Linked DNA regions of Drosophila melanogaster. The protein of the gene in region 1 interacts with the protein of each later gene in a pairwise test. Each region holds a gene or a part of one and is shown on either strand. Other genes may lie near its edges.

Region 1 (4,905 bases):
GTCACAGAACTTTATCGACCTACAACGGCTGCCGGAACCCACCATCGTAAATCCGCTTTGTCAGCCACGTTCCTGCCTCGATCCGCTGGAACTAGTGTATGCGCAAGAGTTGCGGCATTACAATGAACTGCTGCTTAAGAGCAGCCATCGACCCAATCTCGTCCAAAAGTTCGCTCATCTGTCCCAGAGCTTCGGAGATTGCCGGCTTACGGACATGTGGACCCTGCTGGCTTGCGTCACCCAAATCAGCGAGCCGCTGCGCAGTGACCCCATCAAGAGCCGACAGCAAAGACCGGAGTTTGTTACCTATGCTAAATCGTACCTAGAACGGCGCTATCGTGTGTTCATGTGCTCCCAAGTCGGTGGATCCTATGCCAACAACAGCTATCAGTTGGTTGTGGCCTATGTAAACCACCGGTTCAGAGCACAGCAGACCATCGGACTTGTGGACACCGTCCGCGAAATACCCTTATGGCCGCTGGTTTACTACGGATTGCGCTGCGGAGCGGTTAAGGTGGCGGTTGAGTTCCTGCGCGAAGCGGGCAGTAGCCACGATGAGTTTGCCCAGCTCGTTGCAGATCGCAATGCCGGCGAAACCAATTCCAAAATAGAAAACCAACTGCGACTGCAGTACGCCAACAAAATACGCAACTCCACCGATGCCTATAAGAAGGCCGTTTACTGCATCCTTTTGGGCTGCGATGTCAATGAAGTACACGGAGAAGTGGCCAAGACCATAGACGACTTCCTTTGGATGCGGCTGGCCATGATACAGCCCGGTGACGCTGACAACTATGGTAAACTGCAGTCAATGATTTTGGAACAGTATGGTGAAAAGTACTTCAATGCTAGGCAGCAGCCGTATCTCTACTTCGAGACCCTTGCATTAACCGGCCAGTTTGAAGCCGCCATCGAGTTCCTGGCGCGCCAAGATGAAAATCGGGCACATGCAGTTCACATGGCCATAGCGCTGTTTGAGCTAGGACTTCTAGGCAGTGCGCGCAGTGTGTCGCAGCCCCTGCTTTCGATCGATATTAAAGATCCGCAGCCACTGAGGCGCTTGAACCTAACTCGGCTTATCCGACAGTATGTGCAGCGATTTGAGCGGACAGACACCTCGGAGGCGCTGCATTACTACTACACACTGCGCTGTCTGAAGGATTCCAAGGGCCGGAACATGTTTATGGCCTGTGTGTGCGATCTTGTGGTGGACAGCGGAGTCTTTGATACCACCATTTTCGATCTGATATTCGGCAAGCGGCAGTCGAGTGACCAAAACGATGTTAACAGGTGATTATATGCAATGTTACATTTATTCAGTCAGTCTAAAGTCTAGTCTCTTGTGTTTTTAGTGGACTCTTCCGCCAGTTCGAATGCCCGGAGTTCGACACGCGCACCATGGCCGCTCAGGTGGGCGACGAACTGGCTGCGCTGGGTAACTTTGAGATGTCGGCGCGGCTGTACGAAATGGCGGGCAAGTACAACCTGGCCGTGAAGCACATCTGCATTCTGATGGCCCAGGTGGTGCACCTGCCCACGCTAGGTGGATCGTTAAGGGAACGCCTTGGCCAAGACGCTCAGAGATTCAACCAGCTGCTGGCTAGCGACAGCATCGATGTGGAACCCAAGATGAAGAGCAGCTTTGTGCTGCTGCAGGATCTGCTTATCTTCTTCAACTTCTATCATGACGGAAAATTTAATGCAGCGTTGGATCTGCTCAGGCAAACCCAGTTGGTGCCCAATACGTTGGACGATGTCGATGTTGTACTGGGCAATGTGAAGCAACTTAGCGGCGAGGTAATCAAGGTCCTGCCCGACGTTATAGTGGCCGCCATGGAGATCGCCCAGAAGCAGTACAAGCAGCTGAAGGCAGGATCAGGCAGCTCGCTGGAACAGACCCAGATGCAGCAACTCCGGCAGCGAGCCAAAGCCCTGTCCAACATGGCAGCAACTATGCCGTATCGCCTGCCCAACGACACGAACAAGCGACTGATTGAACTCGAACTGGATATGCACTAAAATAAATATACTTTAAGGGATAAAGGGAAGCAATAGTCTACTTCATTAGCATGAATATGTGCTCCTCCTCCTCCCCCTCCTCATCATCATCACTGTCTGTCTCCTCTTGCCTTCTTTCCTCAAGTTGCTGAATGCGAAGATGAGCTGCTGCCAATTGCTGTTGGAGATCAAGGCAATTGGCGCATGGATTATTATGAGGCTTACTCTCCTTAAAGCTTTCCTCGTCAATGCCAGAATCCTCGCTCTTGAAACTGATATTACTTCTATTAGCACATGATTTCATACTTTTGATGCTCTTTCCGAGGGGATCCTCCTCCTCCGTTCCTAAGTGGAACTCTGGAATGGCGTCCTTTCTAAGGTTTCCCTTGTTTGGCAGATAAGTCCGGCGAAAGTGTCTGCCGCAAATAAACAGCCACTTGTTGTCCACCGTAAGCCGACATATTTCCATCCATGCCTTGCGCATTTCGGGATTCGAGGGAAAGAAGTGCAGTCGTTCTGGAGGAGATCGTGAGGAGCAGTTCCTGACGCTGCATCTGCGAATGAAGGAGTTCCTGCTTGGCTTACTGACCTGGTGCACTACCTCTTTTGTATCTAAATCATGAAGAGAACAGGTTTAGGAAGCTATCTAGGAGGCTGCTTCGATACACTTACTCAAGAAAAGTGTGGGAACTGCCCAGGAAAACACCTTGGTCTTGCCAAAACATTGTGTCTCAAAGTGCCGCCTACACACCCGACTATTGAACAAGTTAATATCTTTTATGTCCGCAATATTATCCAACCACTTCTGCCGGACAACCGGATTTATGGGGAACTTGTACATGGAGCTACTATCCTGTTGACCACTCTTATAACAATCGGTTACGATGCAGCGAAGGTTTTGGTTTTTCATATTTTTGGACTGCTAATATAGTTTGGTGAAATGTTGGTAGGTGAAATGGAGAAAGCAACAAGTGTTGGTAGGCGCGTGAAACTTAAATTTGGGTCAAGATCAGTGACTGGACGTTGGTCAAAAGAGGGGGTACCTGAATGTCTTCTTTAGTAAGCTTTTTATTGTATCGGGGAAAACATTACAGGACTTAGGTTTATAAACTTTTTGAATTTTTAAATTGTTTATTGCGCTTCAACAGAAATTAATTCAAACGAGCAAGCGAACTTTTGTGGTCACGCAGTATTCGGGGTTGAGTCTTCGGTAAGTCTGTCCTCCAACCAAATTAGCAAGAACACTGATCACGTGATACACTTTCATTAAAGAAATTATAATTTGCAAAATCGTCGATTTTTAAGATATGAATCTCTACTAAGGTCAATGAGTTTTTTTATATTCCTGAATATAAGGTTTTTGCTTTACTTAATATAATTTATAAATAACTCAGATATGCATTATTTTTCTTCAGGTTAATTGAATTAAATAGTTTACATGTTAATTTATAATTTTAGGAATAAGCAACAATGTTTTAAATGAAAACACTTTAAATACTATCAGGCATTCTGGTTTTTATTTAATTTAAATTAAACCAAAACTGGTTTAAAATAAAATTAACTATTCTGATTTTTATATTTTTATTTACTAACAGATGATTTAAATTGGGATCTAGCATTTGAATAGGAACTTTTAGCGACTTCGGTTTTTTGTACTTTAATTTATATATTTATTTATTACAATATATCCGTTCTCTAATATAACTAATATACACTTCGTGAGTGTATAACAAAGTTGCGTTTCGTTTCTCTTTGTCCGTTTCAATTTCTAATCCAGTCTAATGCATCGGTGTTATCTTGACTTTGTTTATTTTGCTGCATGCATTTGATACTTTTTTACTGGACAAAGGAATCTTGAGTAGAAAGTGATTTGAAATGACCTCGTCCGAAACATCAGCATCGGCTTTCTCGAGCTCGGACACAGCCGCCCTGGAGCGTCAGGCGGAAGTGGAGCAGCCGGTGACCTTGGAACAGATCTGGAACGAAAACCACCGGCGATCGAGCGTAGATTGGATTCGCAAAAGTGGTTACAAAAGGGTGTGTTTATCGGCTACGCTTTTGGAATTACCGTCTAAAGCGTATTCTTCTAGGTTTGCCTGCAATTCCCAGACGACTATCTGCCCCACAGCAATGCAATTAGTGTGGGCCTGAAGGAGCTACTTGCGCCGGAGGACGTGAAAGTCTTCATCCTGGCGGACACCACATACGGAAGCTGCTGCGTGGACGAGATTGCGGCTGCCCATGTGGATGCAGACAGTGTGATTCACTTCGGAAACGCATGTCGCAGTAGGGCCGCCCGCCTGCCGGTACTTTACCTTTATCCAGAGTTGCCGCTGGATGTGAATGTTCTCCTGAGCAAGCTGCAAGGTCTGCGCGCGGAGAGCATAGATCGACAGGTATGCGTGTACCTGGACATTGGGTACCAGCATGTGTACGGGGAAAAGCTAAAGAAGCAGCTGTCCGAGATCCTGGAGCCCAAAGAACTGCTGCTGGAACTGTTTCCGCCCATCGAGGCAGAATCAACGACAACTAGGGAGACCACGAACCTTGAGAGGATTTGTATTTTCATAGGCGCCGATAACCAGCGATTCGCTAATCTCTCTCTGACCGCTCCAGCTGCCGTGCAATGGCACATCTACGATGGATCATCTGACAGTCTCAGCTCAAAAAATCCCCTCACGGCTCAGTTCATCCGCCGTCGCTACTTCCACATCGAAAAGTGTAAGGATGCACAAACACTGGGACTCATTGTGGCCACTCTTTCGGCTGAAGGTTACTTAGATGTGGTGACGCGACTGCAAACAATGGCGAAGGGCAGAGGCATTAAGACGCAGCTTATTTCCGTGGGCAGGATTAACCCAGCCAAACTCGCTAACTTCCTGGAAATCGATTGTTTTGTCCTGATCG
Region 2 (7,992 bases), on another chromosome or scaffold:
GGATTGTGATTTAGTAGGGAGTGAATTAGCTAATTTAAGTTGTGCAAAAGCGAAAGCAAGTGCGGCAATTGCGACGGCATCTGCAGCTTTCAAATGGGAAAACAAAGCAACTGGCTAAGCCGCAAGTAAGAAGGTCCTTGTGCCTATTTGCTGTTTGTTTGCGCTGCACTAGATGCTGCTGCAGTGCCTCCACCCCACAGCCTCCTTGTGGTGTGGCAAGTGGTGCTCCACAAACGGCACTGGAGCGTGCTGCTAGTTGTTGTTCTATCAACACTTTAATTGCCCGAGATGTTCTCTAAGGCCTCTAAATAAGTAAATGCTCTGCATTATTTGAGTTCCTTTAACATGTGCGCAAGTGAATAGGGTATTAATTGTCTAAGCAATTGGATCGATACGATCCACCCCAAATTATCCCTTGATAAAGTGAGTGGTTTTCATAAAAAAAAATCAAGGATAATGCAGGAAAATAATATGATAATCGGATCACTTGGAATCTACTCACTCGAATCGGAATTGGATGTAGCGCCGTTGTACATCGCCTCAGTTGAACAGCTGCAAAGATATTTTAATAGTATTACGTACAATTTTATATTATGTTTACAATAATATACCAAGTTAAGGGTCTTCAATCCAAAATGCAATCCAGTCCAATATTTTCTGAAAGTCAAATCAAATGTAAATTAGCAAACATAATTTTAGTTAGAAATAAATACATATTACTAAAATCCTACGTTCCAACTTTCAATATGCGCGAAACCGACTGAATTCCATTGGCAATCATTTCCAATATTCCAACCAATTCCAAACAACATGCTCACACACGCATACATGTACATACCCACTTGTAAACAGAGAAGCGGCTATTTTCAAAGTGTCAGCACAATTGGAAGATCGTAAACAAGAACGGAACTTGAGATTCAAGACACTTTCGTCTGGAAGTCAGAAAAAAGTTAAGTTACGACCAATAGTTCACATATAAATCTATTATACTTGAGTAAGAATAATAAATATTTGCTATTATTGGTCAACGGAACCGACTTTTTTTGCACAGCTAGAATGAAGAAGAGCAGGAAACTAATTCTTGCCTTCCAAATTAATCGATGTTTTAAGCTTTAAGATAAGCTCGATATCAACTTTTATCGGAATGGTCAGATCGGAATTTAAAAAAAAAAACTTTAATTTCTCCCCAACTCAAATTGAAACACACAAACAAATGAATGTACTTAAACCCTTTTTTTTTGCTAGCGAGTATGCGATCAAAACTAGAGAAACATATGTACGTTTTTTCCCTTATAATTGATGGCAATCTGGTCCCAATAAATCCTTCTCACCCATTTCGCGCCTGCTAATTGCCAAACAAAATGCAATAATTCAACCCAAAAGCACGCTTTCTTTTCCTAGCACAAATACAATACCCCTTTAACGGCCGCAATTTCCCTTTTTCACCCTTTTGTTTGCCAGGTCACCCGAAAAGTTTTACCGAGCAGGGTTGTCGCATGACCCCCCGCAACCCACAACCACAGCAGCAATCGCTTTTTATTCTCTTTTTATATGATTGTTTCATATTTATGAGGATTATATGGCTGATGCTGAGTGCTGAGAATCAGAGAAAAATTGAGTTGGACGTGTGGTAATTTATTTTTCGGCTAAGGGGACGGACTTGTAGTTAACTGTTAGTTTTCCGAGCTCAAGATCGCACAGATTATAAAGAATTTACTGTGCAATACTAATTAAATTTATCTTTATCATTATTTTACTTAAACGGAATTTGTATAAGCCAAAAAACAAAATTTATTAATAATCTCCAACTAAAAATGTGTATCAATGAAATTATTTTCTTATGGAATTAAATTTCAATAGTTTATGCCCGCCTTTGTATTTAACATCTAAACATTAGAATTAAATAAAGTATTTAAAAAAAAATTTAGCGTATAAAAAGCATGGATTGATTCCAAGTGCATTTTACGAATTTGCATTGAATCACGATAATAATATTCACTTGTAATACTTAATTAAATAATTTAATTCGGAACCCATATTAATTTACCGAGTTCGAGGCGGGTTGGCAGTCCGATTGCATGACGTAGCAACGCCGCCACTTTCCAGCACTGGCCGATTGCCAGCCAAAATGGCGCCCGCCTGCTATCGCATTGCTCGAGCAGATATCGGTTCGGCAGCGCATCACACACACAACGCGAAAAAAAAAAGAAAAATACGGGTGGCCTGCAAGCGAATATCTCCGAAATTCATTGAATCCCGACGCCGAGATTTGTGCTCCGATCCGAGAAACCCATTAGCTTCCGTGCACCGTCCGCCCAAGCCAGCAAAATAACCAAGTTCAACATACGCCTGGACAACATAATGTCGAAGAATAAAAAACTGTCGCTGTCGGGCGGCGATACGACGGAGAAATTTATTTACAAACCCAAGGATCTGATATGGTAAGCCGGGACCGTGGACTCATCAATATATTCGCTGTATTCTCAGCTGCGCTGCGCCGTGAAGAAACAAGAAAAAAAAAAAAACGAGAGATGAAAATCAAAGCAAACACCTAACCTCAATTGCGCACCGTTGGCGCTCGGAAAAAAAAATATGAAGAAAAAAAGAGCCAGTGAAGTGTGCATAAAAAAGCAATTAGCGCTGCCTTTTTGACAGCCACGCAGCGCAGTATCCATGTAGCTCCATCCGAATGACGACCATAATTCCGGAGCTACGTGCGTGGATTCCGGGCGCGCGACGTCGACTTCGCTGCGTTGGCGCTTTTTTCGCGCGCGCGCCCTTTTTTCTTGCTTTTCCTCCTTGCGGCCAATATGAGTTTTCCCTGTTCTGATAGCGCATTTTCTTTGCAGGGCCAAAATGAAGGGCTTCACTCCGTGGCCAGGAATGGTAAGCATTGCAGTTGGCGATCGGAATGTTTACGCCGCGTCGACGTCGCGTCGCTGCCGCCTTCTCTGCTGCCATGTTGTTGTGTTTGTTTTCGACTGTACTTTTCGATTCAACGCTGCCGGCTTCGCTGCCGCCGCTCTGCCCGCAGCCACGCACTTGCACACATTGCCCCATTGCCGTTGTGGTTGTTGTTGTTGCCGCTGTGCTGTTGTCGCTGCCGGCGGAGGAAATGGTCTCTTCCATGGAGCCGCTATCGGGGGCCACGAGCAGCAGCTTTTGATCGTGTGTACAGCCGCTGGAAAGCAGCATGTGCACTCGGAGGAGGGGGAGTGACGCGCGGCAGGCGTGGAGTTTGAACACAGACGTTGCCAAGGATATCAGTTCCCAGTTTCGTTATTCTATGCCGTTCAAAAGGAGTTTTGTTAATATATTAACTTTTATTTGACATTAACATTCTCATCGGTAATCTTGTGATATACCAATCGGTTCTTTAGAGTTTTGTGAAATGTGCTAATGATAGTGAATCACCTCAGCTAAGGTTTTATCAAATCAAATTGGTTTTGTGCAAGTTGCTAGAAAAATGAGGATATATTTTTAAATCCTTATAATTCCTAGCTCAAATGTAAAGTTAAAGAGTGGTTTTCGATTGAAATTGGAAGTGAAAAAGCAACATTTGCATATGTTTTGTTTCGTGCGTGATAAAGTCTTGTAAATGGGTTATCACAGAATAGATTAGTTCGAGGGAATTCATAGGCACATCCTTATAGAGTAAAATGCATTGTCTGCTTAAAATGTTTCTGAAGACTTTAAAGATATGATGTGGTGGAAGCTAATGTTGATTTCTCTCCTTAGATTGTCGATCCTCCACTTGATCTGCTCAGCCAGCAGCGTCGGGCGAATACCAAATGCGTGTTTTTCTTTGGATCTAGGAATTTGTAAGTAAAATGCACGCCAACCCCAAAAAGCGCCTGTAATAACATGGGTAATATTTAACAGTGCCTGGATTGAGGAGAACAACATCAAGCCCTTCGAAGGACCGTGGAAGGAGGAACTGGCCAAGGTGAGCAAGCCCGCTGCTTTCCGACACGCCATGACGGATATCGAAAAGTACATCGACGACCCCGCCGAGGTGGACGAGCAGGTGAACAAAAGCTGCGGTGCGCCGAATCACGCAACCGAGGCTGATTTTGACAAGATCCGGGATGGCCTGGACAGCGAGGAGATTGTGGGAGAGGAAGCAACTGCCGATGGCAACAATGGAGTGGTGGCCCATGTGGTGGGCAGCCCCGATGAGGGCGATGGCTTGGATGTGGAAATCAATGCAGATTCATCAGCGTCACCAGTCACGTCGCCGGCGGTCACAACGAAGGCAGCTGGCAAGCGGACGCCGAAAGCAAAGTCCGTGGCCGCTACATCGGTCAAGTCGACAAAGGGATCGGCAAAATCAGCACAGAAACGGCGTACCTCTGCCCAACAGTCGCCCAGTGGGCCATCGAATGCCAAGCGAGGCAAGCGTGATGTTTCCGGGGAGGCATTGCAGGACGCGGATGAAGCCAGCTCCACGCCCACTGGCAGACGTCGGGTCGAGACTGACGCACTCTTGGCCTCAATCGCTGCCAAGCGTGCACCGAATGCAATTGCTCTGCTTGACCGACCGGTTGTCACGCGGCCAGAGGCCCAAGTCATCGACATGAGCTCGCGCTCCAACACACTGGCCGATCGCGATATCGTGCCTTCAGAGCAGACCTTCGGCTTCCTGGGTCTTGGAATGATGGGATCCACCATAGTCAAGGATTTGATCTACACGGGTCACAAGGTTGTGGTCTGGAACCGCACCATTGACAAGGTAAAGTTTTACGATAGCAAGTTCACACATGAATCCTACAACAATCTCGTTTTGTAGTGCCAACCGTTTGCCGAAGCCGGCGCTGAGGTTAAGGACACTCCCATGGATGTTGTGGAAGCTGCCGACGTTATCTTTTGCTGTGTGTCCGATCCAAAGGGCGCCAAGGATGTAAGTCATAAAAGGTTTCATTTATATACATATTTAATTTGGGAAATGCCTAAAACACAACGTGGTTAACAAAACTTAAATTTTGGCCTTGGGGTTCCTATAAAATTCAAATGACTCATCCGCGCTTGTTAACTTAAAAAGTACATATGAATGAAAGCACGCAGTTTAAAATGACGATTTTCTGACGCTCTCTTTGCAAAGCGATCTTCCTTACACTGTATAAAATTAAAATATATTAGAATACAAAATAATTGTGCAACTGGGAGGGATGGCGTAATTTAACATTCTTCTTATTTATGCATTCGTTTTATTCGATGTTTAGCTCGTATTTGGCAACTGCGGCGTTCTGCAGTTGAAGGACTTGAACAATAAGGCCTACGTTGAAATGTCTACAATTGATCCGGACACATCGTTGGACATTGGCGAGGGCATCAAGCAGTGCAACGGTCGCTATCTTGAGGCACAAATTCACGGCTCTCGGCAGGAGGCTGCCGAAGGCATGCTCATCATTCTCGCCGGTGGAGATCGTTCAGTGTTCGAGGAGTGCCACTCGTGCTTCAAGACCATTGCCAAGAACACCTTCTTCTTGGGGAGTAAGTACAGCCTGCACTGCTGACCATTTCCTTTGAAACAATTTATTAAAATATGTCGTTTGTTCACATCTAGCAGATATCGGTAACGCCTGCAAAGTAAACCTAATTTTGCAAACCATCTTGGGAGTGAGTCTGGTCGGGTTGGCTGAGGCGTTAGCACTTGGTAGGTTTTATTGTATATTGTTAGCAGTAAGCAGCCTTAACTAATTGATCTTTTTTTTTATTGCTTTTGCAGCTGATCGGTTCTCGATCTCTCTGAACGACATCATAGACATTTTCGATTTGACTTCAATGAAATCACCCATGCTGCTGGCTAAGGGCAAAGGTATGGATAGCACCGTGGCTATTTCCTAGTGTTTATCTTATCCTATTTTGAATTCCTTTGCAGAAATGGCCAAGGGTGACTTCAATCCCCAGCAGCCTTTGAGCCACATGCAACGCGACTTGCGCTTGGTGTTAAACATGGCTGAGAACCTGGACCAGTCCATGCCCGTCACCAGCATCACCAACGAGGTGTTCAAGCACACCAAGCGCTTGGGCTACAGTGAACACGACTCGAGCGCCGTATTCGTAAGATCCAGATTTTAACATTTAGTTAACACGACTAACGTTTAAACTATGTTTTATCAATTAGTTTAAAGCGTACACCGAACAGAACGACAGAACCGACAAACGACTGACTTAAAAAAAAAAAACTAAACAGGACAGTAATAGAAACGCATAACCCTCACTTATTCACCCACCAATCCAAACTGACAGAGGCGTTCGTTCACAAGGAGTTCTCCTGCCCTTGTGATTGGCAGCGCCACCACCCCAACCTTCTGCATCTTCCCCAATCGCCCCATATGCAAAGCGTTTAATGCAATATGTCTACGATTCGCCGGGAATCGCAGAACCGTGTCGTCCTGCTTTCAACGCAGGAGCCACTGAAGAGCGCTTGGGTGAGTGTGTTCAACAGCTGGCGGATGAAGAGCACAATCTTTCCGGGATCACTTCAATCAAGTTTAGAGTTTTTTTGTATTTTATTCTTTGACGGGTGAAACGCAATCCCCAGAGAGGAGGGAGGAGGCCAGGGCGCCGTGTTTCCGATTTTATATGTGTAAGGTTTTGCTTTCCAAATATCATTTTTACGCATGTCCATACATAACTTGTAAGTGTATAGAATACTGCATCCGAATAAAATGTACAAAGCATACTTGTGAAAGACAACGCCGATTTTGAGAAACCGAGCGAAGTATGGAACCCTCCAATGTGTGTCGATCCAACCTCCCAGCCTCCCACTTTTTGTGCATTTACTCCAGTCCTAAAATTGTATACATTTAAAATCCCCTTTTTTTCTATGAGTAAATAGTAGGCTAATCGATCATACTGCGTAGAATGGCAAACATATTTGGAGTGACGGTAACGATAGATTGGTTTAGTTTTAGCCATCTCTCCCCATCATCTGTCACTGCAACAAACGAGACACAACCTAAAACGGAAAAAACGGTACAGAACGCACCACAACCGATACGCAAACGATACGAAAACGTAAACTACACAACAACCGGAAGAAAACAAAATAGAGTAAACTTTGATCGAACCCTTTGCGTGGGTCGCTATTAATAATAATAATAAGAATATATAATAAATAATATATTTTACTTATTATTTAGTCTGTATTTTGTTGTAAAACAAAGATTAATAAAAAGATAATTTTAATAGAGGATGTAAGGAAATTAAATTGAGTTCGCATTGCAATATTCACGTTTTGCTTGATATGGTTCATATATATTTTGGATAATACAGTATTAAAATGTAAGTGCAATTTAAACTTTATTTAAATTGACATACATTAAAGAAATGTGTGTTTTGGGAGAATTTCATAATATTAAAGTTATATACAACTTGGTTAACCTTTTCGATTAGTATGAAAGGTATATTTTTACTTATTTTGTATTGTTTTTTATTACCGTAAAGGAAATGGGAGGTTTTCTTCGCGACACAATTTTATTATTTGTATAATCATAAAATTAGTTAAGAAAATTCAATACCTTCTAAAAATATTGATTTCATATTTTTTTGTTGCTAAATGATCCTTTTAACCTATGAATATGAAACATTAAAATAATTCAAAAACAACTAGTTCCCATTTTTAGTGGTTCCAGCGATAGGAAATAATCGCTTCACGGAGTTGCTGGAAACATCGATAGCATCGCGTGAACATCGACTTTTGTTCCATCCCTATCGTGGATGTTTATGTGGTGCGTGTGTGGCAGAATTATTATCAAAATTATTGAAAGAATCAATTTTGAGCCCGCAGATCGTCACACTTGCTAGAAAATGTCGGAAAAGAAGCGAGCCCGTCGCCGCAAGGATGTAAGTGCTAACTGTTTCCAATTAGATCCTTCTAAAGGGGCTGCGCGTGTGTGGGTGCCACAGTCCAATTGACATGCCGAAAGTGTTTGTTTTTTGTTTTGATAAAAAAGGAGAAAAAAAACGTGTGCATGCAGAAAAAAA

Evidence for each region. The genes of interacting proteins can lie anywhere in the genome.
Region 2: the proteins of CG14860 (region 1) and Ndf interact in a two-hybrid assay, tested with the Drosophila melanogaster proteins (one large-scale study listed by BioGRID).

The regions. Positions count from the first base shown.
Region 1 is NT_033777.3:14,892,838-14,897,742, reverse strand, and holds CG14860 (uncharacterized protein), read right to left. Parts: upstream 2,960-4,905; 5' UTR 2,909-2,959; coding exon 2,671-2,908; intron 2,611-2,670; coding exon 2,057-2,610; 3' UTR 2,020-2,056; coding exon of another isoform or gene 1,353-2,019; 3' UTR 1,297-1,352; downstream 1-1,296. Other genes in the region: Nup93-2 (nucleoporin 93kD-2), read left to right, coding at 1-1,290, 1,353-2,019; Dph2 (diphthamide biosynthesis 2), read left to right, coding at 3,874-4,035, 4,089-4,905.
Region 2 is NT_033779.5:10,001,686-10,009,677, forward strand, and holds Ndf (Nucleosome-destabilizing factor), read left to right. Parts: upstream 1-2,146; 5' UTR 2,147-2,361; coding exon 2,362-2,441; intron 2,442-2,624; exon of another isoform or gene 2,625-2,849; coding exon 2,850-2,886; exon of another isoform or gene 2,887-3,358; intron 3,359-3,738; coding exon 3,739-3,821; intron 3,822-3,882; coding exon 3,883-4,732; intron 4,733-4,789; coding exon 4,790-4,900; intron 4,901-5,222; coding exon 5,223-5,493; intron 5,494-5,566; coding exon 5,567-5,656; intron 5,657-5,728; coding exon 5,729-5,818; intron 5,819-5,881; coding exon 5,882-6,081; 3' UTR 6,082-7,204; downstream 7,205-7,992. UniProt on the Drosophila melanogaster protein: Nucleosome-destabilizing factor that is recruited to genes during transcriptional activation and colocalizes with a subset of trimethylated 'Lys-36' histone H3 (H3K36me3)-enriched regions. Binds DNA (in vitro).